Linked DNA regions of Mus musculus. The protein of the gene in region 1 purifies or fractionates together with the protein of each later gene. This does not show direct contact. Links are inferred from orthologs where the notes say so. Each region holds a gene or a part of one and is shown on either strand. Other genes may lie near its edges.

Evidence for each region.
Region 2: the proteins of Ret (region 1) and Stat3 purify together in Homo sapiens (affinity purification with western blotting; 3 studies listed by BioGRID and IntAct, with this or other methods). This does not show direct contact. The link is inferred for Mus musculus from reciprocal best matches to the Homo sapiens genes RET and STAT3.

Annotation. Positions count from the first base shown.
Region 1 is NC_000072.6:118,169,739-118,185,616, reverse strand, and holds part of Ret (proto-oncogene tyrosine-protein kinase receptor Ret isoform c precursor), read left to right. Parts: intron 1-1,176; coding exon 1,177-1,440; intron 1,441-3,504; coding exon 3,505-3,792; intron 3,793-5,154; coding exon 5,155-5,399; intron 5,400-6,149; coding exon 6,150-6,345; intron 6,346-6,949; coding exon 6,950-7,152; intron 7,153-9,180; coding exon 9,181-9,439; intron 9,440-9,768; coding exon 9,769-9,894; intron 9,895-10,499; coding exon 10,500-10,610; intron 10,611-11,260; coding exon 11,261-11,380; intron 11,381-11,948; coding exon 11,949-12,202; intron 12,203-15,636; coding exon 15,637-15,784; intron 15,785-15,878. UniProt on the Homo sapiens protein: Receptor tyrosine-protein kinase involved in numerous cellular mechanisms including cell proliferation, neuronal navigation, cell migration, and cell differentiation in response to glia cell line-derived growth family factors (GDNF, NRTN, ARTN, PSPN and GDF15).
Region 2 is NC_000077.6:100,889,502-100,905,379, reverse strand, and holds part of Stat3 (signal transducer and activator of transcription 3), read left to right. Parts: intron 1-81; coding exon 82-176; intron 177-321; coding exon 322-473; intron 474-1,617; coding exon 1,618-1,776; intron 1,777-1,865; coding exon 1,866-1,958; intron 1,959-2,583; coding exon 2,584-2,643; intron 2,644-6,556; coding exon 6,557-6,586; intron 6,587-6,678; coding exon 6,679-6,772; intron 6,773-6,881; coding exon 6,882-6,929; intron 6,930-8,973; coding exon 8,974-9,057; intron 9,058-10,217; coding exon 10,218-10,316; intron 10,317-10,543; coding exon 10,544-10,679; intron 10,680-11,163; coding exon 11,164-11,216; intron 11,217-11,394; coding exon 11,395-11,489; intron 11,490-11,575; coding exon 11,576-11,715; intron 11,716-12,093; coding exon 12,094-12,306; intron 12,307-15,451; coding exon 15,452-15,494; intron 15,495-15,789; coding exon 15,790-15,878. UniProt on the Homo sapiens protein: Signal transducer and transcription activator that mediates cellular responses to interleukins, KITLG/SCF, LEP and other growth factors. Once activated, recruits coactivators, such as NCOA1 or MED1, to the promoter region of the target gene.

The DNA.
Region 1 (15,878 bases):
CCAAAAGCAAGTTGGGAAGGGACAAGCATTTATTTGGTGTACACATCTACATCAGAGTCCCATCATTGAAGGAAGTCAGGACGGGAACTCAAACAGGGCAGGAACCAGGAGGCAGCAATTGATGCAGAGGCCGTGAAGAGAGACTACCTACTGGGTTGTTCCTGACCGCTTGCTCATCCTGCTTTTTCTTTTTATTTAGAACCCAGGACCATCAGCCCAGGGGTGGCACCTGCAATGGCCTGGGCCCTTTCACGTACAGACTTCCTGTAGGATCCAGAAGTTCCATCTCTCAGTATCATCCCGGAGACTTATACATCCATTTCATAGCGACATTAATCATTAACAGCCAAAGCTGCACGCAGCTCTGCTGCCTATGGATGGGGACACAGAATATGAGGTGTACATTGCACATGTCATTCAGCCCTGATTTAGAAGGAGAGATACTCTGATACTGTCCTGGCTAGGTAGATGTGTGTCAGTTTGAACAAGCTATAGTCACCCGAGAGGAGGCAGTCTGGACTGAGAAAATAGTGCCTCCGTAAGATCGGGCTGTAGGCAGGCTTACAGAGCATGCTCTTAAATAGGTTGCTGCCACAGGATTCTGTGGTATGGTTGTGTCACTCTGCCTACCTGAATACCCACTGCAGGACATCTGTTTCTAGTGAGAAATTCACCCATTTAACACTCGGTTACTTGATGGATGGGCGGTTTTCCTTCTGCTGGACACATGGAGTAGACTTGCTGGGTCATATATAAGAGCATATTTTGATAAACAGTCAGTTGCTTTCATACGCAGTGCTCTTTTGTTTCTGGGGACTGCGGCCTGCCCTGCTGGTCTGGCAGTCTCTCATAACTTTGAAACTTCCTCCTGTTCCAGGTGGTATGCTGGGAAACAGTCACTGAACTCCTGGGTCATGTGTGATCCTGGGGCAGATTACACTTGCACTTGGGTAGCAGAGAAGTATTTTGCACTGTTTTGTATTTTCTCCCCCCTTCCTTTGCCTTTCTTTGCTTAAATGTGGTGCATTTATCAGTCATGTTTAGCTATGTTCATGTTCTTTGAACTAGAGGTAAGAAATTCTTGCTAGGATTAGAATTTTAGTTTCTTGCTTTTGTTTTTGTTTTTTGTCCTCGATGTTTTCCCCATCCCCACTCACACCCTCGTGTCTCCTGCAGCCCCACTGGGCCTCTATTTCTCAAGGGATGCTTACTGGGAGAGGCTGTATGTAGACCAGCCAGCTGGCACACCTCTGCTCTATGTCCATGCCCTACGGGATGCCCCTGGAGAAGTGCCGAGCTTCCGCCTGGGCCAGCATCTCTATGGCGTCTACCGTACACGGCTGCATGAGAATGACTGGATCCGCATCAATGAGACTACTGGCCTTCTCTACCTCAATCAGAGCCTGGACCACAGTTCCTGGGAACAGCTCAGCATCCGCAGTAAGAGAACAGCCTGACACCCCTATCCCTACTCCACTTTGGCCTAGCCCTTAAGCTGCCCTCATCTCGACTGCCAGTCTGAGGCCAGGGATGGCTTTATGGCCAAGGGTGTAAGGTACAGGGTAAAGGCAGTTGCTTCGTGTCCAGTTAACGAGGGACCCACATGACTTTGGGAATACTAATTACCTCCTGAAGCTATTGGGAGTTAAGAGAACCATGCAAACGACTTGGCACTCTGTGTAGAGCAGAGTCTAGGTGCAGTGGGGTCATAAGGGTATACAAGTTGTGAGAGAGATTCCAAGGGGCTGGAAACACTCCCCGGGGAGTCAGTAATTTAGCTGATGACCTGGAACTTGCTGAAGAGTACCTGGTCCTAGAAATCATGTTTCCCCATCTGCAACAGGCTGGCTTGAGGTGTCCAGGAAGGAGGCAGAGCAGAAGGAAACCTAGAGGGTGTCCCAAAGCTAAGGCTGGAGCTGCAGTCGAGGCCACATAGGACGTTAGCCCTGGTGTGGAGAGTGAGGATCTGACTCGCCTGTGTGATGTGGGATGGTGATGGTATGCGCCTCCCAGGACCTCCTCTGAGGCATGGCCTCACAAGTCCTTAAGTTCCAGTCCACACGTGGAGGCAGGGTAGATGAATACTATGATACAGAATTAACTATATCGACAGGATTTGTAGAGTGACTGACCTATCTGACAAGAGCAGTGTCTAAGTTAGAGCTTCCATTGTTGTAAAGAGACACCATGACCAAGGGAACTCTTATGAAGGACAATATTTAATTGGGGCTGGCTTACAGGTTCAGAGGTTCAGTCCATTATCATCATGGTGGAAGCATGGCAGCGTCCAGGCAGACATGATGCTGGAGAAGGAACTGAGAATTCTACATCTTTGTCCCAAAGGCAAACAGGAGAAAGACTGGCTTTCAAGCAGCTAGGAGGAGGGTCTCAAAGCCCAACCCCACAATGACACACTTCCTACTCCAACAAGGCCACACCTCCCAGTAGTGCCCCTCCCTGGGCCAAGCATAGTCAAAACACCACAGCAGCCAGGATAGTAAGATGGGAGGATGCTCGAGGTGCCAACATAGTCTAGATCAGTGATTCTCAGCCTCTGGGTTGAGACCCCTTGGCATGCATAGCAGATATTTACACAATGATTCGTAACAGTAGCAATGTTAGTGTTAGGAGGTAGCAAGGCAATAAGAATTTTATGATTGAGCGTCACCACAATGTAAGGAACTGTGTTAAAGGTCACAGCATCAGGAAGGTTGAGAGCCATGGGTCTAGACAGTTCCTGGAGGAAGTACTCTGCAATGTCTCTTGGTTTCAAAAATACCTTCATTTCCTCTGCGTCCCTCCTGAACCATAGTGGGAAACTGAGGAATGAGAGTCCTTGGGGGGAAGCCAGGGTGGAATGTGCTGTAAACCTGCAGTTCCCTGAAGACCTACACCACTCATGTTTGAGCATGGCCTCGTCCAGTCAGGAAAGAAGCACACAGCAATTTGGACAGTTTGTTCAGAGAATGTTAACCACAACAGGGTCATCATAACAATGTAATACAGGCTAAGGGGAAGCAAACTGAACCCTGTAGCAATCTGCCAGGCCTAAGGCAGAGGCCCAGGGAGATGCCTGCCTCTGCCAAAGGCTAGACCTCACTAAAGTGGGCTGTGGTGCCTCAGTGGTAGAACTTAACTGGAAACTCTTCTACAGAGTATTAATGAAATCTGTGCAAAGCACTTGATTGGTAGGCGGGGTTGGAGGGTGGAGAGTCCAACTCCCAGAGGCCTGCAGGAACCTACACTATGAGGCCACTCACCTGGCAGGACCTGGAAACTTTAGCCCCAGGCAGGGCTTGGGTACTTCTTTCAGGTTGGACCATTTGAGCAGAAACCTGAAAGACAAAAGAGGCAGGTAAGAGGGCTACTGATTTCCATCATCCTGCAGCGGGCGGCGATGGGGAGGTATCAGCTGAGACTTGTGGACCACACTGAACCCTGGAATTCCTGCCCCTCTTCTTGATCCCTCACCTGAAAAGGAGCTGTCTTCTTCTCTTTCTACAGATGGTGGTTTCCCCCTGCTCACCATCTTCCTCCAGGTCTTTCTGGGGTCCACAGCCCAGAGAGAGGGAGAATGCCATTGGCCAGGCTGTACCCGTGTGTACTTCTCCTTCATCAACGACACCTTCCCAAATTGTAGCTCCTTCAAAGCCCAGGATCTCTGCATCCCAGAGACAGCCGTGTCCTTCCGAGTCAGGGAGAACAGGCCTCCTGGCACCTTCTACCACTTCCACATGTTACCCGTGCAGTTCCTTTGTCCCAACATCAGTGTGAAGTACAGTCTCTTAGGAGGTGAGTTCCAGCCTCAAGGGGCTATTCCTTTGTCCTGTTACATGGGAGGCATGGTGCTATAAGCCCTTAGGGTGAGCCACGAGTTCTTTTTGCCACTTGTTGAGTATTCCAGAAGTATCTCTCTTGAATGTCTGTCACCAGCCAAGTAGTGTTGAAGGAAGTTAGGATACAACTGTAAACAAACAAACGATCTGGCGTCTTGCCTGCCTTGAAGCCTCTAGTCATCTGGAGGATAGAGCCCTTGGACACGTCAAGGAATCTAGATGGTTTCTAAGGAGGAGTGAGAAGCTGAGAGAACAGAGAGGTAGGGGCCACTAAACCAAGTGGGTAGGTGCCAAAAGGCTCTGGCCCCAGAAGGTGCTAAACTGAGACCATTTGTAGTTGGACTGCAGTTAGCCACTAGAGAAACAGTGGCAAACAGGGGCAGGCTGGCTATGTCAGGGGAAATGTCAGGGTTTCTTTCCCTAGTGCAGGGGAAACTGTGGAAGTCGGGGGGCAGGTATGAGAAGTCTCCACTTGCATCTAAAAAGGCTTAGTTGGGCTCCTATGTTGGGTACAGTTCGTGCCAGGGTAGTGTATGGTACAGTTAGGGACACGGAAGGGTCCAGGACAGACTCCTGATTGGGAGGATGGGCTGATAGCGAGGCTGGAGTTGGCATGAAAATCGTGGAGCTTCCTGGCTTGCTCTTAAGGAGACCCAGATGGATTCTTCTAAGCTAGAGATGGGGTGTTGAACCCAGTTCCAGGGGTTCTGCTAGCATCCGCAGGCACAGCAGACCTTTCTGGGGAGCTAGCCCTTCTAGCAAAGTGGACCTGTATACTTTGACATCTTGCTTATGTAGAATAAATGAAGGCTTCAAGAAACCAATCAGGTCACAATCGCAGGACACAAACAACAGGAAATCAAATCCCATATCCAGAAATCCTGGTTGGAATGTCAGTCACACCCCTGATGTCCAGTATCTGTTTTCAAGTCATCGAACCGGGATGTTTCTCCCATTGTCTGACACGAGCAAATGTCATGTCTGTGATTTAAAAAAAAACAAAATGGATGACATTGTGAATCTGACCATACCTGGAGCTGGCTCTCTGCCTATCCTCTGCCCTCCTGGGCATCCCCCCTCCAGGCCATGACAGAGACACCTGGCCTTATGTCAACCCTTGTCTGCCCATTTGCATGAGTGAAGGCTCCAGGCACAAAACAGTAGGTGACACAAACCTCACACAGCCTATATTTGGAGTACTGTGTGCCGTCCCCACAGAGCCCACTGCCATCCACTCTGGGTAGAACCATGAGCAAGGGAGGCCACGCCCCATCCCCTACCCAGTGGTCATGCGGTATTCCCTTCTGCTTGGTGACAGGGGATAGTCTGCCCTTCCGTTGTGACCCAGACTGCCTGGAGGTGAGCACTCGCTGGGCCCTGGATCGAGAGCTCCGGGAGAAGTATGTGCTGGAGGCTTTGTGCATAGTGGCAGGCCCTGGTGCCAACAAAGAGACGGTGACTCTGTCCTTCCCAGTGACAGTGTATGATGAGGACGACTCGGCGCCCACCTTCTCTGGAGGTGTGGGCACTGCCAGCGCGGTGGTGGAGTTTAAGCGGAAGGAGGTTGGTCCCACAGTGGCATTTGATTGTCTGGTTGTCTTGTCCTGTGCATGTTTGGTGTTTGTCCCTGTCGGCAGTTTATATTTGATCTGTTTAGCTAGCTGTTCCACTAGCCGTCCAGTCATGTGACCCTCTACTTGTCCTTTGTGTCTTGTCTGTTTGGCTGACTGCCAGCCAGATAGCTGCAGTAAACTGGGCTGGCACTGTGAAGGCCCGAACCTGGGGTGCTTAGATTGTGTATAATGAGGCCAAGGGCCTCATGAGGAGAGCACTGGGGAAGAACACTCAGGCTCACTTGACCTGGCAAAAAGGAGGGTACTCCCTTCTGCTGGCAGCTGGGCAACTTGTCCAGGAGTGTCCTATGAGAGGATGTCCTCGCCCATGCTGCTTTGACCAGCCTAGGTGGTGTGCTACTGCCACCTGCTGGGCTTCAGGCTACTCTGCAGCCTGCTCTTAGGCTCAGTAAGAAGGGTGTTTTGCTTCTCTGGGGAACTAACTAGCTACAGGCTTCCTAGGGAGTGAGAGCAGTATGGGGAAGCGAGAAAGTATCTGATTAGACAACCTTAGAGTAACCCAGTGGCCCTGTGGCTTTGCTTACAAATCTTACCCGAGGCCCTGGGGACAAACATTCAGTTCTGATCGTCTGGCCCTAGGATTGGTTCAAAGAACACATAGTTGGTCTAGTTCTGGGCTGTGCGAGGTCATGTGATCCTCTGACTATACCTGCGCTGACTGGCACTCTGCTTTCTGTAGGGCACTGTGGTGGCCACCCTGCAGGTGTTCGATGCAGATGTGGTGCCAGCGTCTGGGGAGCTGGTGAGACGGTACACAAACACACTCCTCTCAGGGGACTCCTGGGCCCAGCAGACCTTCCGGGTGGAGCATTCGCCCATCGAGACCTTGGTCCAGGTCAACAACAACTCCGTTCGGGCAACCATGCACAATTACAGTAAGAAGCCAACGGCGTGATGTTTTCCCAGAACTTCAGGACACTTGGTATACACACACACACACACACACACACACACACACACTCTCACACACTACAGGAAAACCACATACATTCCATACACCAAAATATGTCCCACTGAGCACACCCATTCCAGGCCCCACACAGTCTGTGTATACAAACACTACCCAAACACCCCATACACAAACTCATTTAAATATGCTAATTTACACCCGCCCACCAGTAAGTAAACACCACACTCATACATTTCATACCCACCTAACACACTACACCCACAAAAGTATACACACTTTGTATACATATCAAACCACAGGACATAATAAACCCCTATATATAAACACACCACACATGTACCACATGTACCGTATGTCTCTCTGGAGCATATGCATGTGTACACACACACACACACTCACACACGAGATCTAGCCGAGTAAAATGTTTAGCTTTTAAATATCAGTACTATTGTAAGACTGCCCACCAGACCTGCAGGGTTGGACGTTGGTGTGGCTATATAGTATGTGGCACAAGACGTGATGATGAAGGATAGTAACTTGTTTTGTCTCCTTGTCGTGCCCGCCTACAGAGCTGATTCTCAACAGGAGCCTGTCTATCTCAGAGAGCCGAGTCCTGCAGCTCGCGGTCCTGGTCAACGACTCAGACTTCCAGGGGCCTGGGGCAGGTGGTATCCTCGTCCTCCATTTCAACGTGTCTGTACTGCCCGTCACCCTGAACCTACCCAGGGCCTACTCCTTCCCAGTGAATAAGAGGGCCCGCCGCTATGCCCAGGTGAGCCCGTGGCCCATTACATGGCATGAGGTTAGGGGGTTCCAAGACTGCAGGCAGGGCTATGGGTGGGTGGCACCTCTTCCCTAGCCCATCCAGTGCAGCGTTAGCATAGGTGGCTCCCTAGTAGAGGGATCCTTAAGCCTCTGTTTACCCCGCTTCACCCTAGAGAGCTCCTAGCCTCTCGTTAGCTCCCAGAGCAAGCCTTCTGATCTTACCGTCTTACTTCTTGGTATCTTTAAAACATTTTTTTTTTTTGCACTAATACAAAACATTTCCAGGTAACCCCGTGTATGCCTACTTGGAAAGATGTTCTTGGCTGTACTGTTAAGTGGAAAAAGTGGTTGGAGGAACCTGGTCTCTGGTGTCTCTGTCAATGCAAAAATACCTTTTTAATGGGGGGAGGGGACTTTAGTGGGTAGCAGACTGTGGTTGGCAGTAGTGGCTTGTGGGAAAAGGCAGGGGTCACATCTGCTTATAGAATTTTACGCGCTAGAGACATCACAAGGTAATGTTCATATTTGTCTTTGGAAAATGATAAATGAAATGGAGAAGTAAAAGATTGGGGTCGTGGTTCAGTGGTATAGATCTGTCCTAGCACGCACTAGGCTCCATCCCCAGCACCGCTAAAAATAAATGAAAATACAAAGAGTAGAAAGTGAGCGGTGGTCTTCATTAAAATGATGAGGATTGAGGGCACATGTCCCTCCCACCCCTTGACCACCAGAGACAGCATTTGCTGCCGTTCTGACTTGTTTCTTCTCAAGCACTCACGGTGTCTGTTTGTTGGTTGCTTTTAGTTCATTTGTGGTTTGCGCACGTGTGTGTGTGTGTGTGTGTGTGTGTGTGTGTGTGTGGTGGGGGGGGGGGGTGTAGAGGGTTGATCTGTCTTCGGACTGTGTTTAGAACAGTCTCCTCTTGTGCCCGGGTCTTTCCAATTCTTAAAGTCGGTTCCAGATTCTCACTCACTCCTGTCACCAGCACACGAAGGACCTGCCTGTAAATAGAGAGAGCCTTTAGCCCTTCTCCAGGGTGAGAACATCAGGTCGGGAGTGGGGATGACAAAGTGAAGGGCTTGAGAAGGGGTTGGAGGTATCAGTTAGAGGCGGATCCACCTGCATTTAAAAGACCTGGGAGCCTCAGTCATTGCCCTGTAGTGATTGGTTTCTTACTGTCTCCATAGTTTTGAACTTGGATATTTTTAAGGGTCCCCCGAGAAGATAGAGGTGAACGTTCTTTGTAAGGGAAAGTGAAGCAACCAGGAGGTTGGATTGTTAGGGTGTCCGTGTGGCTTGGGAAACCCCTGTCCCTGCTCTGGGTCTTAAGAAGCTGCCCCCTAGGTCTGTGCTTGCCCTGAGACACAGGGCCCCACAACCAGGACCACTCCTGCAGCTCTGAGCAACCATAGCTCTCTGGAGTGTATGTGAGATAAAGGCTCAGGGCCTGGCTCCAGAGCCAAACATCCTCAGAAGGGGTCTCTTTCCAGAACCTCTACAGAGGCCTCTTGACCTCAAGTGCAATGACAGCATTGCAGTCTCCCAGCTAGGGCATGGCGCTCTAACAGGTGGGGGGGCGGGGGGAGAGAGACACACAACAGGGGGATTGTGGCCATCACAACTGACTCCCAGTGGTGTGGGTTTCTGGTGAGTTGGTGTTCTTAAGCAAGGTGGGCTTGTAGGTGCTGAGGCTGTAGAACACTGGACATTGAGGAAGGCTGCCATTCAAGCAAAGTTGAGCCAGGTGGTGGTGGTGGTGGCGGCGGCGGCGGCGGCGGCAGCAGCGCACACCTTTAATCCTAGCACTCGGGAGGCAGAGGCAGGCGGATTTCTAAGTTCGAGGCCAGACTGGTCTACAAAGTGAGTTCCATGACAGCCAGGGCTACACAGAGAAACCCTGTCTCGAAAAAAACAAACAAACAAACAGCTAAGTTGAGGGCCGTTCTGCAATTTGCTCTTCCCAAGAGCCCATCCAGCTAAGGTGCACTGGTACGATCCTCCTCCTTCCTCTCCTCCTCCCTGTCCTCCCCTCCAGATCGGGAAAGTCTGTGTGGAAAACTGCCAGGAGTTCAGCGGTGTCTCCATCCAGTACAAGCTGCAGCCTTCCAGCATCAACTGCACTGCCCTAGGTGTGGTCACCTCACCCGAGGACACCTCGGGGACCCTATTTGTAAATGACACAGAGGCCCTGCGGCGACCTGAGTGCACCAAGCTTCAGTACACGGTGGTAGCCACTGACCGGCAGACCCGCAGACAGACCCAGGCTTCGCTAGTGGTCACTGTGGAGGGGACATGTAAGTGTCGGGCTCCAAGGAGGGGTGAGACGTCACAGACAATGTGTTCGCTGTGTCTTTCGGTGTAAACCAGTGATACCATGTGTCCTTTGCTGTGGTCACCCTCATATCCTCCCTGTCAGATGGGCTCAGCAGACAGGAGGCTGATGAGAGCCTCTGGCTCTCGTGTCTAGGTCCCTGCCATACAATACTCTGGTTACCCCAGAACCTGTGGAGTTTCAGTCCAGAGACAGTAGAACTGTTGCTACATTCTGTTCATTGGAGAGGTCTAGAGACTGGGCCCACACCAGCCCCAGTGACCTTGGCTTGTCTGTCTGTCATGCTTCCAGCCATTACTGAAGAAGTAGGCTGCCCCAAGTCCTGTGCAGTAAACAAGAGGCGCCCCGAGTGTGAGGAATGTGGTGGCCTGGGTTCTCCAACTGGCAGGTGCGAGTGGCGCCAGGGAGATGGTAAAGGTAGGCGTGGGAGCCGGCAGGGGGTCGTGGGGGGCACCGGGGAGGAGGGGAAGGGGGGGGGATGTTCTGGCTGCCATCAGGGTTCCTGCAAGGCCTCCTAGTCCCTGCCATGAGCTTCCTTAATCCTTGTCTTCTGACCCTGTCCCTCTTGGGAAACCAGTGCCAGCAGAGAAGGTGGGGCACGTGCCATCTTGTAACTAGCGGTTCCTCAGTTGGATTCAGTCTGGGTTTGGAAGGGTCTATATCAGAGCTGGGACAGATGGGAGACAGAGTGGTTCTTCCAGAAAGTCCCAACTAGGAAGTGTGTCTGCCTCACTGTTGGGTGCACCTCCCGCTCTAAGGCTCCTGTTGGCAATATAGCTTTGACGGATCCTTGCCTTCAAGTGACCTCCTTAAAGGAAGGCTGTCTGCAGTCCTGGGATGCCCAAGCACTTCAGCCCTTGGGAACCCCTTGTCTCATTTCTCGCTGCCGTCTTAGGTGTATGTGGCCTTGCCCCACTTGTCCCTTCATCTCCCTGTCCCAGGAGAGGCAGAGTTGGACCATGACAGAGTCGTGGTGGGATGTGCCCCTGTGGGGTGACAGCCTGCTGTATGCTCCACCACAGGGATCACCAGGAACTTCTCCACCTGCTCCCCCAGTACCAGGACCTGCCCCGACGGCCACTGTGATGCTGTGGAGAGCCGGGATGCCAACATTTGCCCCCAGGACTGTCTCCGTAAGCCCATGCTAGGCCCGTGGTGATGCATCTTATCAGCGTCCGGGAAGGGCAGAGGAGAGGGAGGTAGCAGCAGAGAGCTTGGAAATCCTAACCTCCTCCTGAACATGGATGCCCATCGGAGGCCTCAGGCTGGACGGGGGTATTGTCTGTGCACGAGCTTAGCTTATGTAGGGCCATGGCTTCATCTTAGCACTGAAGAGGAAAAGTGTGTGATAGTAGGTTGAACCAAGCAGGATGGGTCAAGCCAGTCCCACTACCATCTCATTTGAATGTTCGTCGTGTTCCCCCAAGACTGGGCTTTTGTAGCATGGCCTGCCTATCCTTGGCTGACTTGTGAAACTCAAGTCCCTGATCTGCTGGCTCAGAACCCACCTTGCCTCTTATCTATTACTTCCATCTTTACTGTTACTGGGGGCTAGCCATGGGTGATGTCTTCTGGGACCTTAGCAATGACTCTGAGGAGTCTTGGTTCCCCTCCACTTCCATAGACAGTATGGGCGGGGGGGTTATTGTGTTAAACTCTCTGCCCAGATGAGAAGGGCCTCTGAACCTATTGCCTTTGATGGGCCTGAGCTACTGACTCCGAGTTGGGGACTCTGAGGTATCAGGCCACAGCAGGAAACTTAATGTGCCACCTATGTCCTCAGGTGCCGACATTGTTGGAGGACACGAGCGAGGGGAGCGCCAGGGCATTAAAGCAGGCTACGGCATCTGCAACTGTTTCCCTGATGAGAAGAAATGCTTCTGCGAGCCAGAGGACAGCCAGGGTAAGTCATGCCTCCCACACAGTTCCCCAACCTCCCCTAACCCTCAAGGGAGTTCTGAGCAACATTTATGAGGTCCACCAAGGGAAGAGACTGTGGGGGAGGCAGTTAGATTCCCGGGAGGCTCCTCCTTCCCTTTGGGCCCAGTACCGTTGGTGCCCCTGTGAATAGGGGTCAGAGTCCCTCTAAAGCATTTCCTAGCCACAGTTCTTGATGAAGGAAGCTCAGAGAGCAGACCTTCCAAGTAACTTGATCAGATTTCCTGTACAGGGTCTCCCTCGGCCTCTGGCACTGTGGAAGTCTCCTGCTATTTGGCTCATTCTAGAACCCTCTGTCCAAAGCCTCCGATCCTTTCTTCCTTCATCCTACCTTTTTGTACTGAAAACAGTATAGCTGGTGTGGCTGGCATACTGCCTGTGCTGTCTGAGGGAGGCAGTGTGTGCAGTCTTCAAATCAGTGTTTCTACTGTGAGAGAGTGAACACAGGGGGAGGTGGTACAGTGATGCCTGCACCCGGTCTGTAACATCTCAGATGGTCACAGTGCAGTCTCTGTCACTCTGCCCTTCCGCAGGCCCACTGTGTGATGCGCTGTGCCGCACGATCATCACAGCTGCCCTCTTCTCCCTTATCATCTCCATCCTGCTGTCCATCTTCTGTGTCTGCCACCACCACAAGCATGGGCACAAGCCGCCCATTGCATCAGCGGAAATGACCTTCTGCCGGCCGGCCCAGGGCTTCCCAATCAGTTATTCCTCCTCAGGCACCCGCCGGCCCTCACTGGATTCCACGGAGAACCAGGTTCCTGTGGACTCTTTCAAGATCCCGGTAAGGGGCCCCAAGAGGTAGGTGGACAATGTTGGAGGAAACATGGCCACACAGGCTTTCTTTACTACTTGGGATACCCACAGATGGTGGATACGGCATTGCCTAGATCTCCCGTCGCATAGGGCCAAGAGCAAGGGCATCCTTGCCTTCCAGTGGGAAGCTGGGCTGTGAAGGCAGGCTGTCTAAGAAAGAACTGACAGGTACTGATTTAGATGGCTCTGGCAGGGATCTGAGATGTAGGCCTTGAAGTCGCAGCGAGAGTGAGCAGGGCCCTAGCTAGCAAGGGAGATGTGAGCAGAAGCCCCAAGGGATAGGACCAGTAATTTCTACACACGCACAGGCACACATGTACTCGGCAAGTATTTTAAGTCAGAGTGGGAACCGTGGAAGAGACTTGTGTTAGTTAGCATTTCAATTGTTGAGCAGTGGGGTGGGATGGGGGTGGGGCAGAGAGAGTGGGGGTCATAAAAAAGTGCAGGTTTTGAGGTCCAGGGCAGCAGCATGATGTAGGGTAGTGCCTCAACATGGAGTCCCCACTGGGGGCCCAGAAGAAAGCCCCAGCTACTCTTGAGATGGACGTACCTTTCCATGGGTGCTGCTCAAGGCCAAACTACCATTGAGGCCTCCCTATCGTGGTCGTGCCTTTCCTGGGCTTGCCGTGTATGGTGTCTGCCCTCACCTTCAGGAAGACCCTGACCCTTCATCACTCCACCCCGCTCTTACCTCTTTAGGATTTGGAAGCCAGGGTGCTCTGGGAACGGCTAGAACAGTGTTACGAGACAAGGGGTCTGAACAGAGTAAGCCACAGGTTTGGGTGGAGAGGTTGTGATGTGGACACCTGAGGGAGCATCCAGTGGCCACGGGCTCATGGTAGTCTCTGTTTCAGGCTATGCAGTGACCTTAGGTGGCCAGGAGGTCCTACCTCCTCCAGGGCCTATGTGAATGACACCCAACCCTCACACAGGGCCAAAGAAGTCCTTCCTACAGGTCCTGATTCCCTCTGATGATCCCAGCGTGTGGTTCCTGTTCTGGCAGTAGCTGGATCTCCAGCAGGCTTCTAGACGAAGCCACCAGAGCCCTTTGTTACCCAGGTAACACAGTGAGGCTGCATAGTAAGGCCATGTAACGTTCCCAAGGGTAAAGACATACCACTCTCACATGTCTGCTCCAGAGTTAGCCTGGTGCCCTCAGGCTATACCCACATAAGCCCCACGGCTCGGCCACTCAGCCTGATTTCTCTAACATAAAACATGGAGAATTGGAGACTGTGGCCCATTCCTTTAATCCTGGCACTTGGGAAAACCAGGCAAGGAGATCGCAAGCTCAAGTGTAGACTAGGCTGAAACAAGCAAATGAAACAGTAAAGATACTGATTTTTTTTAATTTTTAATCTTTAAAAGGATCAAGTTCATACCGTTCTCACGTGCTTAGCGTAGTCTCTGGTATACGCTCAGACGTGTGTTTAATGGCTGTAGTGGAGGTGTGGCAGTGGGCTGTGACACCAGTGGTATCTCTGCTTTCTTCACACTCGAGAGGCTTCACAAAATACCAAGATCACTCAAGAGCCTGCTAGAATGTGTGTTTGTATACTCAAAGGAGGCTGTCCCCACAGGCCATGTGTATGTGTATATATGTATGTGTGTGTACGTGTTGTGTGTAAATCAAAGTATGACCTTTGTCCTGGAGCTATGTGTCCTTATTAGGCCAGCTTTGTGGTTAGGGAAGCCTTTAAAGAGCCTTGTAAACAGAAACCTGAGGTCTGCACGAGGACACGTGAGGCAGTAGGCATCCAGTGCTGTGCCAGCACCATGGGGTGGGCCTCTAGCAGGATGGCACTTGGCTGGCAGGAGTCTAGAAATGTATCCAGAGCAACCATGATCAGGCCTGATAAATGGAAGGGACTTGATTGGGATGCTGGGGAGGCAACATGTCAGGTGGAACTGGGGTGTAGCGAAGTGTGCATGGGATGGGCCATGGGAGGAGCAGCGGCCCCACACTTCAGAATGGGAGTTTGCCCGGGAGCTCGGTGGTGCATTTCTTTAACAGGCAGCCACACAGGATATCTCTGAAGGTTTCCACTGTGGAAAAGTCTGGGATCAGAAGTGCCCTGAGCTGTGGGTGCCCATTCAGTCCTTCAGAGGCCCCTGGGTGGGGGTGTCAGAGAAAACTTGGGTCTGAGGCTGCTATGTAGTCAGCCAAAAGCACCCAGCAGGCCTTGAGGATAAGAACTTTAGGCTTACTGGTCCTGTGTTTTTTGGGGAAGTGGGGGCAGGGTGAGTCACGGCCTTGAGACCAGCCCCCTCCCCTGGAGACTCGCTTAAGGCCTCTCTGGCCTGACCATGGTGTGTTCCCAGTGGATGAGCTGTGAGGTGGTGGGTGTGGTTCAGGTGATGACTAGCTCTCTGCCTACTGACCTTGTGGGGTCAGGAGTTGGTATTTAAAGGCCATGCCTCCTTGCCCAACTTTCCTCCCTTCCCTGATGTCTTAGTTAGGGTTTTACTGCTGTGCACAGACACCATGACCAAGGCAAGTCTTATAAAAAACAATGTTTAATTGGGGCTGGCTTACAGGTTCAGAGGTTCAGTCCGTTATCATCAAGGTGGGAGCATGGCAGTATCCAGGCAGGCATGGCACAGGCAGATCTGAGAGTTCTATGCCTTCATCCAAAGGCTGTTAGTGGAAGATGGACTTCCAGGCAACTAGGGCTAGGGTCTTAAGCCTACACCCACAGTGACACACCTATTCCAACCAGGTCACACCTATTCCCACAAGGCCACACCTCCAAATGGTGCCACTCCCTGGCCCCCATAGACTTGTTCAAACACATGAGCCTATGGGGGGGTGGGCACATTAAACATAGCATAATGCAAAATGCATTTAGTCCAACTTTCAAAGTCCTCATAGTCATAGCAGTCTCAACAATGTTAAAAGTCCAAAGTTCAAGGTCTCTTCTGAGATTCATCCAATCACTTAACTGTAATCCTCAAAGACAGGAAACCAGCTAGGCAAACTCCAAATTCTGCATCTCCATGGCTGATGTCAAAGCAGTCTTCAGAGCTCCACTTCTTTCTCATCTTCGTTGACTGCAACAAACTGCTTTCTCCTGGGCTGGTTCCACTCCCTGATAGCAGCTTTCCTCAGCATGTATCCCATGCCTCTGGCATCTTTAACATCTTTGAGTCTCCAAGGCAATTTCAACGTTACAGGTTCTTGTTTCAACAGTGTCTGGGATTCCACTTGATCTTTTGGGATCCTCCTAAGGGCTGGCATCACTTCTCCAGCTCTGCCCTCTGTAGCACTCTAAGCTCAGGTTGATCCACTCATTCCACTTCGGCTTCTATTCTTGGTGATCATCCCATGGTACTGCCACTCCCTGTCCAAGAATATACAAACCATTACACCGGCTAACGGCCCCTGTCTCTACACCAATACAGGAGGATCCAAAGTGGGAATTTCCTCGGAAGAACTTAGTTCTTGGGAAAACTCTGGGAGAAGGCGAGTTTGGAAAAGTTGTCAAGGCCACAGCCTTCCGTCTGAAAGGCCGGGCAGGATACACCACAGTGGCTGTGAAAATGCTGAAAGGTACCTGTCCAGGGACTATATGGGGGGGGGGGGTGGCCGTCCTGTGAGACGCCTTGCAGAACCACCATTGCTGCTCTGTGATGGCTGCAGTCTC
Region 2 (15,878 bases), on another chromosome or scaffold:
AGGCGCACAGATGGTGTAGAGCCTTGTTAAGAAGGCTGTGGTGAGTCCCTCTGCTCAAGGAGTCTTTCCTCCTTCCCTTAGACATGCAGGATCTGAATGGAAACAACCAGTCTGTGACCAGACAGAAGATGCAGCAGCTGGAACAGATGCTCACAGCCCTGGACCAGATGCGGAGAGTAAGCGATCTGGATGCTTCCTGAGCATCGCACGCCTAGCGTGGAAGACAGTTTCTGATGGCTTCTTTCTCTAGAACTGACTAGAGACTGCGGTTAGACATGGGCTGGGGTAATGTGTTCTGACTTGGTTTTGGTTTCCAAACAGAGCATTGTGAGTGAGCTGGCGGGGCTCTTGTCAGCAATGGAGTACGTGCAGAAGACACTGACTGATGAAGAGCTGGCTGACTGGAAGAGGCGGCAGCAGATCGCGTGCATCGGAGGCCCTCCCAACATCTGCCTGGACCGTCTGGAAAACTGGTAAGAGTTGGAAGAAAGGCTTCTTTTTCTTTAGTCACGGGCCTGCAAGGGGGGGGGGGGGGGGCGGGGCGGAGCGGGGCGGAGGCGGGGCATGCTGCTCCCTCGCCATGCTTTTGCTTTTGCTTTTGCTTTTGCTTTTTCATGCTGGGGTGGATGTGTGGTAGACAAGTGTGCCAGAGCCACTGGACTACACTCCTAGTGCTGGACACTATTGCTAAGATGGCACCTTTTTTTTTCTTTGAGAAAGAATCTCACTGAGCTGCATAGGCTGGCCCTCATACCCACTCCATAGCCCAGGCTGGCCCTCATACCCACTCCATAGCCCAGGCTGGCCCTCATACCTACTCTATAGCCCAGGCTGACCTTGAATTTGCAATCCTCCTGCTTCATCTTCCCAAATGGAATTATCTGGGATTATAGGCATGCATCACTCTGCCTGCCTTAAGGTGGCCTTTTTTACACAGTCAAGTTTAGTCCAAGAATTAAAACCATTACCTAATTTTAACTTTTTTGTTTTTTTCTGAGACAGAGTTTCTCTATTTAGCCTTAGCTGTCCTTGAACTTGCTCTGTAGACTACACTGGCTCAAACTCATAGAGGTCTGCCTGCCTCTGCTTCCCAAGTACTGAGATTAAAGACATGCACCACCATTGCCCAACCAACAAATTTTTAATTAAAAAGAATAAATTAATAAAGCTTAGATCACTAATTTAAGATATTTAAATAATACTTTCAGTTGTATTTAACACTAAATTCTCCATTTTAGTTATTTTAATAATCTAAAACAATATATGTTATTTGCAAAGGGGGGAAATAACTGAATATATATAAAACTAATAAAATGAAATAAAAAAAATGAAAATCTAGTCTTTGAGTAGTACCAGCAAGTCACCAGACTTTGTGATAGTCATTTTGTAGGCATCTGTCGTGATTAAACATGTGATTTCATGACTATACATGTGATGTCATAACTATACATGTGAAGCTAGAAATCGAGTTGTCCGTCTCCTTCCTCCCTTCCTTCCTTCCTTCCTTCCTTTGTTGTGGTGGGATGGATGCCTCAGGGTCCCTTTGCTTCAGTCTCCTGAGTGCTGGGGTCACCACTAGGGGACAGAGGTGACTGGAACTTCCTTCCATTATGGCAGGATAACTTCATTAGCAGAATCTCAACTTCAGACCCGCCAACAAATTAAGAAACTGGAGGAGCTGCAGCAGAAAGTGTCCTACAAGGGCGACCCTATCGTGCAGCACCGGCCCATGCTGGAGGAGAGGATCGTGGAGCTGTTCAGAAACTTAATGAAGAGGTAACTTGTAAGAGATGACGTTCCGAAGGGAGGAACCGGCAGAAGACTGGTCACCACAGCGTCTGAGATGCCATCCTTTTCCCTTCCAGTGCCTTCGTGGTGGAGCGGCAGCCCTGCATGCCCATGCACCCGGACCGGCCCTTAGTCATCAAGACTGGTGTCCAGTTTACCACGAAAGTCAGGTGGGCCTGTCCTTACACTTTGGGTGGAGTTTTGATTGATGTCCAGTCCTCTTCCCTGAGGATTTTAAGGGAAGGAAGGTTCTGTGGTGCCATAGCTGAGGGGCCCCATTGGGTGAGAGATGAAGCCCACTCCTCACCTGGCTCAGAACACGTGCAGTATTTCTCATTGAATGCTTTTTATTGCCTTCCCGTGAGAAGTCTCTTACAACTTGCTTCACATGCTTAGGCATCTCAGTACTTTCTAGCTGAAGGGTTAGTGTTCACTTTTAATGTCAGAGATGACTCTGCGGAAGTAGAATTTGGGTTTGTAAAAATAATATATATATATATATATATATATATGCGTGCGTGCGTGTGTGTGTGTGTGTGTGTGTGTGTGTGTGTGTATTTTTCATCTAGACAGGTCTTTGTAGCCCTGGCTGGCCTGGAACACTCTCTGTAAACTAGGCTGGCTTGAACCCAGAGATTCACCTCCCTTTGCCTCCCAAGTGCTGGGATTAAAGGCATGCACCACCATGCTCAGCAATATTTTTACATCTTAGGAATTGAAGTATTAGGGGGTTTATATTTTAACGAGATCAAGGTAGGGAGCCTACTAACTTTCCTTGACTATATTTTTTAATAGGTTGCTGGTCAAATTTCCTGAGTTGAATTATCAGCTTAAAATTAAAGTGTGCATTGATAAGTAAGTATTCTTTATGTGTGTGTGTGTGTAAGTGTATAATTTTTATTATTTAAAAGCAACTGTTAAATTCATGCTTTGCTCATATTCTTCCCTTCTCCCAAGTACATTCAGATCTCCTCCTCCTGTACTCACCCAAGTTTCTCAAAAAAACTAAACAACCAAAACCCCAATACAACAAAATCCCCAAAAGACTGAGAACAAAATACAACACCCAAAAAGAAAAAAGATGGGACTAAAATTGTGATTAAATAAGAGCATGCACAACAAACTATTTGTTGGTCAACTGTCCTGCTCACGAGACCCGCACTGAGTGGTTGACAAAGCCAGTGCTGCTCCCAGCAGCTCCATTGCTAATCTTTCACCCTAGTGGTGGGTTTACATTCATTCATTCATTCATTCATTTTTTTTAATGTAACAAAATAAAATATAACAAAGCAAAACAAAGGCTATGACATCCAAGTTGGACGAGACAAACCAACAGGAGGAAAAGAACCCAAGAGAAGGCACAGGAGTCGGAGTCCCACTCGTTTGCACCCTGGGAATCCCATGAGAACACTACATGGGAAGCCACAATATTAGCACAGAGGCCCTGGTGCAGGCCCCTGCAGGCCCAGGGCATGCTGCTCCAGTCTCTGCGAGTTCATATGAGCTTTGCTCGTGGTGATTCAGAGGGCCTTGTGGTTTTGGTGACCTCTAACCCCTCTGGTTCTTAATGTTTTTTCTGCTGCTTCTTCCTTGGTATTCCCTGAGCTCTGAGGGGAGGGATTTGCTGGAGACATCCCATTTAGGGAATGAGTGTTTCAAGGTCTTTCTCTGCATGATGTCTGGCTGTGGGTCTCTATATTTCTTCCCATCTTTGGACAGGAGGACTCTTCTCTGATGATGGCTGAGCAAGGCACTGATATCTGAGTCTAGCAGAATGTCACCTGGAGTCATTTTATTGTTTTTTTTTCCTTTCTCTTTTTTAGATCAGTATTATTTAGTTTTTCCCTAGGTCCTTGGGCTATCTAGTCTCTGGTTCTTGGCCACCCAAGCCTTGTTGGGTATGAGTTTCATCTTGTATAGTGAGCCTTAAGACTCTTGTTGGTTGGTTACTTCCACAGGTTTGTGCCACCATTGCCCTAGCATATCCTGCAGGCAGTACACTATTACAGATAGAGGTTTGAGGCTGGCTTGCTGTTCACACTTCTCTTTTGATAGCATGCAGAGTACCTTCCTATAACAAAGACTCTGGCATACAGTGGGGGGCTCTATGGAGGCACCAGCTTCACGTGCCCATGTTCAGTGAGTTGTGTAGGTGTTATCCTCAACAGTGGGGCCTTGCTGTCAGTTGTGGAAAGCAACCGATGGTCTTGATAACAGCGTGGATTGTTTGAGGATTCCCTTTGGCCAACAATTCAATTAGACTTAACCCTAACCCAGTACTGGAAGCTTTATTTGGTGGCAAGAGATCGCCAGTTGGGACCCCAACTCTCCCCCATTACTTGGCGATTGAATCTAGATCACCTTCACATATGTGAATGTTTTAGGAGGTTCCTACTGTACGAGATGTCGATACTACTCCACGGATGCTCCATAAGTGTTGCCGTCTCCCATTGTTCCCTCCCACCACCAGCTCTCCTCTCCCCTCGGCTTCCCCATTTGCTCCTCCAAGTTCAGACCTCGTCTATCCAGAATCCCTCATCTATCCAGAATCCCTCATCTATCCAGAATCCCTCATCTATCCAGAACCCCTTCTATTTCTTTTTTCCTAATTAGATCTATTTGTTCTCTGTAGTTCCTTAGTCTGTATTCACCCTCTGTGGTTCTTAAGGATTGCAGCTTGGTTATCATTGACTTAATGGCTAATATCCATACATAAGTGAGTACACACCACATTTGTCTTTCTGGGTCTAGGTTACCTCACTCAGGAAGATTTTTTTTTTCCTAGTTCCATCTATTTGCCTGCAAGTTTCTTTTTTTTTTTTTTAATGGCTGAGTAATACTCCGTATGTAAATGTACCACATTTTCTTTATTCATTCTTCTGTTGAGGGACATCTAGGTTGTTTCCAGCTTCTGGTTAGTATGGAGAGAACAGCAGTGAACGTGGTTGAGCAAGTGTCTGTGGTAGGATGAAGCATCCTTTGGGTATGTGCCCAAGAGTGGTCTAACTGGATCTTGAGGTAGATGGATTCCCGTCTTCCTGAGGAGCGGCCATACTGATTTCCATAGTTGCTGCATGAGCTTGCATTCCCACCAGCAATATGTGATGGTGGCCCTTACTCCACATCCTCGACAGCATGAGCTGTCACTTGTGTTGATCTTAACTATCCTGTTAGGCATATGATAGACTCTCACAGCAGTTTGATTTGCATTCCCTGATCCTAAGGATGTTGGACATTTCTCTGTTTCTCAGCCACTTGGGTTTCCTCTATTAAGAATTTTCTGTTTAGATCTGTACCCCATTTCTAACTGGTCTGTATTTTCTTGATATTTATTTTCTTAAAATTCTTTTCGGGCATTTGTCCTCTATTGGATATGTAGTTGGTTTAAAAGAAAAATCCCGTTCTGTAGGCTACCAATCCGTATTCTTAAGCCTAACTCTTGTTTTCAAATGAGGGATGGAGAAGCAAGAACTTGGACAGACATTTGACTTTAGAGATGTCTCCATTCAGGGATCTTCTTTTTGTGAACAGCTGTGTTCAAAACCCTTGCAAACCCTGCCCGGTTTGCCTGAAGCATTGAAAAGAAAAGTTTGAGTGTGTGCAGCTCAGTATTGCAGGCTCACCTAGCACGCACGCATGCACGAGGCCCGGGTTCAACCCCCATACTGAAAAATAAACGTGTAAATAAGTAATGCTTGAAAATAGAGTATATGGAAAGAGAACTGGTTTGAAGTTAATAATCTTCTTCCACAAACCCACCAACACATGCTATTTGTAGGTAAAAATATAGCAATGGAAAAGAAATTTTACTTAGTTTTATTTTGAGAGAGCGTCTGACTCTACAACCCTGGCTGGCCTTGAATTCACAGTGACTCACCTGCCTGTGCTCCCCAGTGCTAGGATTAAAGGTATCTGACACCAAGTCTGGCTAAGAAGAACTTGTAAAATAGTGTTCTGAAATAAGATAAAGACAGAAATGTCATAATATAAAAAGATGGCCTGTCAGAGACAGGCAGCAGTGGTCACGTGAGGATAGCATTTCCAGCTGCCTTGTGGGAGGTGGTGTCAGTTTTTGGTAACAACATACCTTTCTGGAAAACCCAGCGTGGCTCCGATAATAAGGAAATTCACCACCCGTGTAACTGGAAATGCAGTTGGGGCAAGTACCTAAGGATGAGGCTGGTGACTCACAGGTGTCTTCAGGAACCCTGGGTCTTCCATGCCATCCTTACCGTGCCATCCTTACCGTGCCAGCTGTAGACAGGTTCCCTTCCAGGTGGTCTCATGGCTGTGGACAGAAGATCAGCCTAGGCTATTGCCTCCTTGGTCTGGCTGAGAACAGGCCTTTAATCCCAGCACCCAGGAGGCAGAAGCAGGTGATCTCTGAGTTCAGGTCTACAGAGCAAGTTCCACGACAGCCAGGAGGGCTACACAGAGCGCTGTCTCGGAAAGCCGACAAAACAGACAAGGCAGACCCCGTCTTCACCTGCTCTGTGGCTTCCTCTGTTCTGATGAATGCAGTGATCGGGGTTCCCTGGAGATAGATGGCTCTGCCATCCCTTACTGAGAGAATGGAGCTTTCCTTAGGAAGGGAAAGAAGCTGTGGTTAGGCCCCCAGCTAAGGCTACTGTTTAAGTGCATACAGAGTTGTGTTTCACACCGAAAATGTAACTGAGCATCGAAAGGCATGTTCCATCAGAGTAGGTTCTGGAAAGAAAGAGGGGCTCTAATCTCAGCTTTTATTAACCCTTGTCTGTGTTCTTTACAGAGACTCTGGGGATGTTGCTGCCCTCAGAGGGTAAGTTGGGCCTCCTTTTGTTCTTTCTCATCCAACTTTACCCTCTGGCTACTCAGCGCTCACTGTGTGTTGGTTTTTCTCCCATGATTTAGGTCTCGGAAATTTAACATTCTGGGCACGAACACAAAAGTGATGAACATGGAGGAGTCTAACAACGGCAGCCTGTCTGCAGAGTTCAAGCACCTGGTCGGTGTCCGAGGGGAGAGGAGGCGGCACAGGCCAGGTGGCAGAGGAGGGGGGAGAGACTGGCACAGCCTCAAGTGACACTTGCCTCCTTCTTCTTCCTTTCTTCCAGACCCTTAGGGAGCAGAGATGTGGGAATGGAGGCCGTGCCAATTGTGATGTAAGTAAGTTTTGTTCGGGCTAAAAGCAATTGTTTTCTTTCTTTGAGGAAGAAAGAGAAAGCTCTCTCGCTCTCTCTCTCTCTCTCTCTCTCTCTCTCTCTCTCTCTCTCTCTCTCTCTCCCTCTCTCCCTCTCTCCCTCTCTCCAACCCAGAATTAAAACTTTAACCCACTACTTCAGATGTTTGTCCTTTAGAAAAGTTGGTCGCTCTGGGCCAGGGTGACATGCTCAGAAGTCACAGGTGCTGTGGAGTTTTCTAGCGAGAAACATTTCCCTGAGTGTTGGGGAGTTGGCTCCCTTTCAGCAGTGGGAAGTCCCTCGCCAAGCTGTTACCCACACCCATCTGGTAGAAAAGAAGTTTCCACATTGCCCGGGGCTTCCCAGAGTCCCTTGCTACTACCTGCCAGCTGGCTCCCTTTTCAGTGCCTGGTGAGACAAAAGGAAGACATCAAGTCAGCCAGTCAGAGCTAAACAGAAAAAAAAACAACAACAAAACAAAACAAACAAAAAAAAACCACCAACCAAACTGTGCTCAGGAGCTGAGGCAGGGGAATTGTGAGTTTGAGATCATTCTGTCATTCAGCACATACATGTAAAAGAGCTGGAAATTCATTCCTGAGAATTCATCAGTAATTTGTGTACTAATTGATGAGGGTCTGTGGTCCCGTGCAGGTCCCAGTTCCTCTTTCAGAGCTGTAGAGTATTCTGCTGCCTACACCACAGCTCATGACCACAGGTAGCCACATTGCTTGACTGCTTGTGTGGCACTGAAGGTTATCACAGTCACTTTAGAAAGTGACTTGGCATAAAAATGAGCACACCCTGTAAACCGGCAGTTCCAGTCTTAGGAATTAACAGTAAAGAAAGCTTTGCATAGGTGAACTAAGGACAGATAACACAGTCACAGCCATTGGTCATTGACACAGCTCAGATCTCTCAGCACTGGGGTCATGAGCTGTGGTGTAGGCAGTGGAGTACTCTACAGCTCTGAAAGAGGAACTGGGACCTGCACGGGACCACAGACCCTCATCAAGGTGGGGGTGGGGTGTCAGGAGCAGGAACACACTGAGAGTGCAGTTCACTGTGTGAAGTACACATGCTTGGAGAAACAACCATGAACACGGTTGGGAGGAGCTGGGAGACAGCAGAGACAAAGACACAGTAAAGTGCAGAGAAGGGGGATTCACCTGGGGAATCTCGGTGATAATGGCAACTTATGCGGGATGATAATGCTAGGCTATCGCTCAGTGTTGGGGTGCACTTAGATGCATGAGACCCTGAGTTTGCTCCCTAGTGCATATAAAAGGAAGGAGGGAGAGAGAGAAGAAACCTAAGAAGCCTTCCTTTATTCCTTCCTATTCTCCCCTCCTTCCTTCCCTTTCTCCCTCCCTCCTTTCCTCTCTCCTCCCTCTCCCTCCCTCCTCCCTCTCCCTCCCTCTCCCTCTCTCCTCCCTCTCCCTCCCTTCCTCTCTCTCCCCTCCCTCCCCTCCCTTCCCTCTTCCTCCCTCCCTTCCTTCCTCCTTCCTCTTTCTCTCCCCTCCCTCCTTCTCCCTCCCTCCTCCCTCCCATCCTCCCTTCCTCCCTCCCTCCCTCCCTCCCTCCCTCCCTCCCTCCCTCCCTCCCTCCCTCCCTCCCTCCCTTCCTTCCTTCCTTCCTTCCTTCCTTCCTTCCTTCCTTCCTGTGTGTCTGTGTTTGTGTATGGTCGCACATGTGCGATGGTGTGAATGTGAAGGTCAAGTTGCCACTTGAAGGACTTGTTTCTTCTTCCACCAAGTGGGTCCCAGGGATGAGGCTCGGGTTGGCAGGCAGATGCCCTTGCCCACTGAGCCATCTTGCTGGCCCTCAAATAAGGACGTAAGCTGGGTGGCTTATCCTTGGATGCTCATTGCTTTGTTATTCTTCGTGCCTTGAATGTGTATTGTAAGATATGGTTATGTACTATGTAGTGCATATGTGAGGATCATGTCCTTGGGTCTTTGGGTGGAAGAAAGAGGGCAGAGTTGTGTCCCTGCCAGTGTCTCTGAGAGACCTTATGCTGTTGCAGGCCTCCTTGATCGTGACTGAGGAGCTGCACCTGATCACCTTCGAGACTGAGGTGTACCACCAAGGCCTCAAGATTGACCTAGAGGTGAGGCCTTCCCAGAACCAGGCGGCTCGTGTGCGGGGGTGCGTGTGCAGGGAGGCCAGGACAGAACGCCTGCCGGGATGATGGCTGTCTGCCCAGCCTGGATTTGTTTCTCATTATCTATCTCAGAAACGTCCCTGAGAGCCACCCTGTCCCCAAGAGTAAAGTCTTGCTTGAGTACCTGTTATGAAAATCTATATTAGTGATTGTTTAGAATCGATTTGATGAAGTTTGGGCAAGTGGGTCTTAGTAGCCGCCATTTAGATTTTATTTTCCTGCTTGCTTGCTTGCTTGTTTCCTTCCTTCCTTCCTTAAAGATTTATTTATTTTATGTATGTGAGTACACCATTACTCTCTTCAGACACACCAGAAGAGGGAATTAGATTCCATCACAGATGGTTGTAAAGCCACCATGTGGTTGCTGGGAATTGAACTCAGGACCTCAGGAAGAATAGTCAGTGCTCTTAACTGATAGGCCATCTCTCCAGCCCCTGTTTTCCATCTTTCTTGATCTTATTAAGTTTAGACCTGGAAAAGCAGACATCCTTAGGTTTGATTTCTAACACCTCAGCTTCATGGAAAGATGCAGGTTGTTTGGAGGTTGCCTTCCAGGTCTGTCTCTGGAGAGTCGGGCTGAGGGCCTGGGTTAGCCTTAGTGTTTGGGTTAGTGTTAGTTGTTTGTTTGTTTGTTTTTAAAGGTTTGTTTGTTTATTTATTTATTATGAGTGCACTGTGGCTGTCTTCAGACACTCCAGAAGAGGGAGTCATATCTTTTTTATGGATGGTTGTGAGCCACCGTGTGGTTGCTGGGATTTGAACTCGGGACCTTCGGAAGAGCAGTCAGTGCTCATAACTGCTGAGCCATCTCTCCAGCCCTAGTGTTAGTTTTTAGGGCCTGACTTTGAACAAGTCACTGATGATGTTCAGACATCAGTGCTGATGCAGGCTGGTCCTGATGCAGGCTGGTCCTGATGCAGGCTGGTCCTGATGCAGGCTGGTCTTTCTCCTCTTGGTGTTCTTGCTCCAGCCTGCACTTGCCGTGAGGGGTGGCCATGGTGTGATTTTTAATTCTAACTTATTGAGATGCGGGTGACAAGGGTTGGGAGCTGTGAGAGCCCAGCTGTCCCACTAAGTCATTCACCGCCTGTCCCCATACTCTACAGACCCACTCCTTGCCAGTTGTGGTGATCTCCAACATCTGTCAGATGCCAAATGCTTGGGCATCAATCCTGTGGTATAACATGCTGACCAATAACCCCAAGGTGAGTTTCCCACCCCCAACCCTCTCTGAAATCCCTGAACCTTGCTGCTTCTCCACCCCCGGTGCAGGCTGTCAGTGTCACTCTCTCATCCAAGTGGGTGCAGGCTGTCAGTGTCACTCTCTCATCCAAGTGGGTGCAGGCTGTCAGTGTCACTCTCTCATCCAAGTGGGTGCAGGCTGTCAGTGTCACTCTCTCATCCAAGTGAACAAATGTGTTCTTTTCAATAGAACGTGAACTTCTTCACTAAGCCGCCAATTGGAACCTGGGACCAAGTGGCCGAGGTGCTCAGCTGGCAGTTCTCGTCCACCACCAAGCGGGGGCTGAGCATCGAGCAGCTGACAACGCTGGCTGAGAAGCTCCTAGGTTGACAGCTTCAGACATGTCTGGCCTGGGGGGTGGTCATTCAGTCGGGGTCCCCATGTCAGCCTAGGGCAAGGCACCATGCCAGGACCAGGTTGCTAAGTGTGTTTGAAGAGCATGTTTCTTTCTTTAAAAAGCCAAAGACAATAGTTTTAAATTTTTTCTCCCCTTTAAAAAAATATCTGGACTGAAAGTAACTTTGACCTGTGCTCCTACAAAAAAAAAAAAAAAAAGGCTCCTGACCCCAGCTGCCAGCTTTGTCACTGTGTGTTGCCAGTTCTCAGACCACACAAGGCAAGGACAAGCAGGGGTCCAACAGGACATCTGTGCTGGCCTAATCTAGGGACAGCTGTTGGGCTTGGGTGTGTGTGGGCATGTGTGGCACACACCCTGTAAGTACATGTACAAATGCATGGCCTTTTTGTAAATTCTGCTTAAGAAATAGCTTTGGCCAAGGCTGAAATCCGGTTGTTGTTTTCTCTTCCAGGGCCTGGTGTGAACTACTCAGGGTGTCAGATCACATGGGCTAAATTCTGCAAAGTAAGTGATCCTGTTGATTCCCTCAGTTAGGAGGTAGGTGTGGGGTGCCCAGGACCCCTTTCTCCAGCAGCTGTCAGGAGCTGCCTGAGGATAGAGGAACCTGAGGGTGTAAGAAGGCTCTGGCAGGAAAGAGCTGGGGTGAGTGGTGGTGGACTTGCTTTCCCATTCTTTTCTCCAGGAAAACATGGCTGGCAAGGGCTTCTCCTTCTGGGTCTGGCTAGACAATATCATCGACCTTGTGAAAAAGTATATCTTGGCCCTTTGGAATGAAGGGTAAGGTTAAACTCTGCAGTAAGGCTGCCCTGTGTAACGAGTCACCTACTCCCAGCAAGCCCGTGACTGGTTGTCCTTGGCTGCAGGTACATCATGGGTTTCATCAGCAAGGAGCGGGAGCGGGCCATCCTAAGCACAAAGCCCCCGGGCACCTTCCTACTGCGCTTCAGCGAGAGCAGCAAAGAAGGAGGGGTCACTTTCACTTGGGTGGAAAAGGACATCAGTGGTAAGAACGCTTGCCTCCTGTATCACTTGCTCCACCTGCTGGCCACTGGCAGCACCCGGCTACTTCATGTTCTGGGTACTACTGCCCCCTGAAGGGCAGAGAGGGCCTGTGCCTCCTGAAGAGGTGGCCTGCCAGTTTGTCCTGTTCACTCATTTGGCTAACATTTGTGTAGAAAAGTGTGATTGAAATCTTACTTCTGTACTCCCTTTCCTGCCTACCCCGTTAATACATTTGCGGCAGGTGTTTTTGCCTATGAGCCAGCTGGATCTCTACAAGCCCGCCTGGATATTGCCTCAGTTCCAAGTCACTGGGCAGGGCATTCAGAGTCTCCAGCACTCACTCCACTGGCATAATCTCTCCTTCCATGGTCCGTGACAGGCAAGACCCAGATCCAGTCTGTAGAGCCATACACCAAGCAGCAGCTGAACAACATGTCATTTGCTGAAATCATCATGGGCTATAAGATCATGGATGCGACCAACATCCTGGTGTCTCCACTTGTCTACCTCTACCCCGACATTCCCAAGGAGGAGGCATTTGGAAAGTACTGTAGGCCCGAGAGCCAGGAGCACCCCGAAGCCGACCCAGGTAGTTGTTGACTTTCCATGGCTTTGCCTTCCTTCCTAGTGAGAAAGTACGCATCCTTGGAGAGACAAGGACATGGCTGAGTATCTTGTGGGAGCAGGGCTTGGTGATTCCTTCTTTTGGGAAAGAGTGGTTTATTGGGTTCCTTGACAGGGTGACTAACTCAGGATTCAAGAGGAGGACAGAATCAGCCCTCAGGGAGCTTGGAAGTCTGAAGATGAAAATAGTATCTCTCCCTCTTCCTCTCTTCTCCCTTTCCATCTCCCCCTCCCTCCCACCCCGCCACTTTAAAACACTAGAAAGAGAAATGAAGGCAGGTCTCTCTGGTGCTTCTCCAGTCAGTGGGTTCCAGAAGACCCGAGACAGATTTGAGTCCAGCATGCTTTGCTGTCCTGAGTGAGCAGTGCCAGGAGTCTGAAGAAAGGCTTTCTGGGGCAGTGGCTGTTGGCAGCCTGGGGCAGAGCTGACATCAAGCTGGAGGTGTTGATGTTCCAGAGATGATGACTGGAGGGAATGTGGACTTGGCATTTAGAAACAAGATGCATCTACTCTGTGGGAGTGCGTGTGGCTGTAAATCAGCATTTCTCAGCCTTTCACGGAGCGCTTAAGACTATAGGAAAACAGAGATTTCCATTATGATTCATAACTGTAGCAAAATTACAGCTATGAAGTAGTAAGAAAAAGTAATGTATGGTTGGGGTCACCACAACATGAGGAGCTGTATTAAAGGGTCATAGCATTCAGAAGGTTGAGAACTGCTGGTATAAATTATATGAAAAATAGAAATTATGTTGTGTTAAGTCTGTAGTGTCTGGGGCGGTCCCAGTGTAAAGAGTCAGAGGTGTCTGGTCTGAAGCCATTTCAAACTTGTTGCATTGACGCTTGCCTCTGTCCTTATGCTGGTGAGGAGTCTGGTTTTCTAAGACTGTTGTTGATCATTGCACATGCTGAGCTCCGAGGTGCCCTGTGTGAGCCGGCCTCCTTGCTCTGAGGTGCCCTGTGTGAGCCGGCCTCCTTGCTCTGAGGTGCCCTGTGTGAGCCGGCCTCCTTGCTCTGAGGTGCCCTGTGTGAGCCGGCCTCCTTGCTCTGAGGTGCCTTGTGTGAGCCGGCCTCCTTGCTCTGGTGTTTTTTCACCAACCGCTTCTGTTCACATAGCACCTGCACACAGCTTCCCCGGCTCTGCCCACCATTCTTGGAGGAGTCGCTTGTTGACGGTTACTTTCCTTTCCCTTTGTTCTGCTGTTGAGTTCTCTTCATTCTGTGGAGGAGTTCAGCTCTCACTTCCTGTCTGTCCCTTATCTCTGCTTCCACCTTGCCTTCAGTTGGAAGATCTGTTTATCAGTCCCTCTCACACTGGTCTTTGTTCTTTTCACAGAGGACTTTGAAGTCCGAGCACTGATCCTTTTGACTAATTTTGCTTTCAAGATCCAGGCCCCTGGTCAGGCATCCACCTCCATCACCATTCCTGTGTAGGCTGCCCAGAGACATTCCTCAGGGGCAAGGCCTGGGCATGAGAAAGGAGCCCACTGCCTGATGGGCTTGCCTGTGAGCCTAGGGAGAGTGCACTGGGGGCTCCGGAGCCCGATGATGGAAGGGTAGGGGGTTCAGATGATCCCCTTAGGGAGGTGAGCCTGTATGTCCCTGTCCTCTGCCCCTGCTACAGGAGTATTGCAGTAGAGACCTCCCCGGAGCCTCGTCCTGGGTCTTCCTTGTCTGTCAGGAGGCTGTAATATACCCTGTGCTCCTCTGGAGGGATTTTGAGCAAGTTCACCAGGCAGCAACAGGATGTTCCTTCTCTCTTCCATCTCCAGTCTGTGTCCCGCACTCCTACCTCGGGCCGGGTCAAAGAATATTTCTCTCTTGACCACTGGAGAATGAAAGTCTTCTCTTCTCCGCTCTAACTTATTGTGTATGCATGTGTGTTGGGGGTGGTCCTTGTTGGAGGACCTTGAGGGTGTCAGCTCTCTCCTTCTACCATGTAGCCCCTGAGGACAGAGCTCAGGCTTGGTGACAGATGACTTAAGCACTAAGCCATCTCCCTGATCCCCTCTGTCTCTTTAAGGTGACAGTTCTCACTCTAGAGACCTTTTCTAGAACTGTAGGCAGCACAGTTGCCTCAATAATTCCTTTGCTTCTGTGCTGAGTTAACCTGTTTCTTGGCCACAAATGAGCTTGCATATTCATCTAAGAGCACTTTCTAATGGCTTCTCCCAGGGGTTTGTCTTGCTGGATGCTTGTAAGCCCCAGTGTTCTGTCTGTGCTTTTCTTAGCCTACCCACACAGCCCCAGGCCCGCTGCGAGCATCATTAACTGAACCCCCAGGGCTTCATGCCAGTGTCCCCAGGGCTTCCAGATTTCTTGGCCTAACATTTCAGTCCTCACATTTCCAACATAAACGGCAGAGATGGAAGACAGCCAGTCCTGTCTCTTTCTCTGTCCCACACATGAAAGAGATGGCGCCTTGGCCAGGTTTCCTGGCTGTTGCACATGTTCTCGGACCTGGTGTCCTGTCTCCCAGTGGCTGGGGTATGTTTTCCTGATTGGAAGTGGCTTTGGAGCCTCCAGCACGTAAGCATTTAGTCCTGTTGGTGTCTGGGCTGGTCACCAAACAGGGAAGTCAATTCACAAGTGTGACCAGGTCACAGGAGAAGCCTAACGCTACACAAAGATGGTTGGTCGCTCAGGCAGGGTGGGGAAGGATGCACAAGAGTTGGCGGTAGGCCGGGCAGTGGTGGTGCACACCTTTAATCCCAGCACTTGGGAAGCAGAGGCAGGCGGATTTCTGAGTTCAAGCCCAGCCTGGTCTACAGAGTAAGTTCCAGGACAGCCAGGGCTACACAGAGAAACCCTGTCTCAAAAAAACAAAAAACAAAAACAAAAGAGTTGACGGTAGGCTGGGTAGAGGTGGGGCAGGTGTCTCTGCAGAAGTCTTTGCAGCTCAGGAAATTCTATGGAAGAGATAGAACTTCAAACTGCAAGACTGGATGGCAAGCAGCATGTGATGAGGGAGGACAGCCCTAAGAGCTGGACTGCGGTGTCTGGGCAGTTTCTGTAAGGTTGGCTCACGCCGTCTGGGAGAGGCAGGAGGATTCCTCTTGCATGTTCTCAAAGCAAGTCACAATCTGTTAAAGCCCGGGTTTCCTCTCTGCAGGTGCTGCCCCGTACCTGAAGACCAAGTTCATCTGTGTGACACCGTAAGTGGCCGCCCTTCCCAGTTTCGCATTCATTTCTAGTGTCCTAGTGTGCTCAGTTGTCCCCAGGAATAGGGAGGACATGGGGTGAGAGTTACCGTGAAGGGCTGGTAGCTGCTGGGCTTGTTTAGTGCTCAGAGTGACCTTGTGTGTTTAAAAAGCTTGAGTTTTTATTTTTTCTGTTGGAGACCAGAGTTTGATGGCTTGTGTGTGTGTGTTTGTTCTTTTTTTTTTTCCCCCTCCATTGTGTCTTGTCAACCTGGCCCTTCCCACTCCTGCCGTCCCCCCTTTCCTACAGAACGACCTGCAGCAATACCATTGACCTGCCGATGTCCCCCCGCACTTTAGATTCATTGATGCAGTTTGGAAATAACGGTGAAGGTGCTG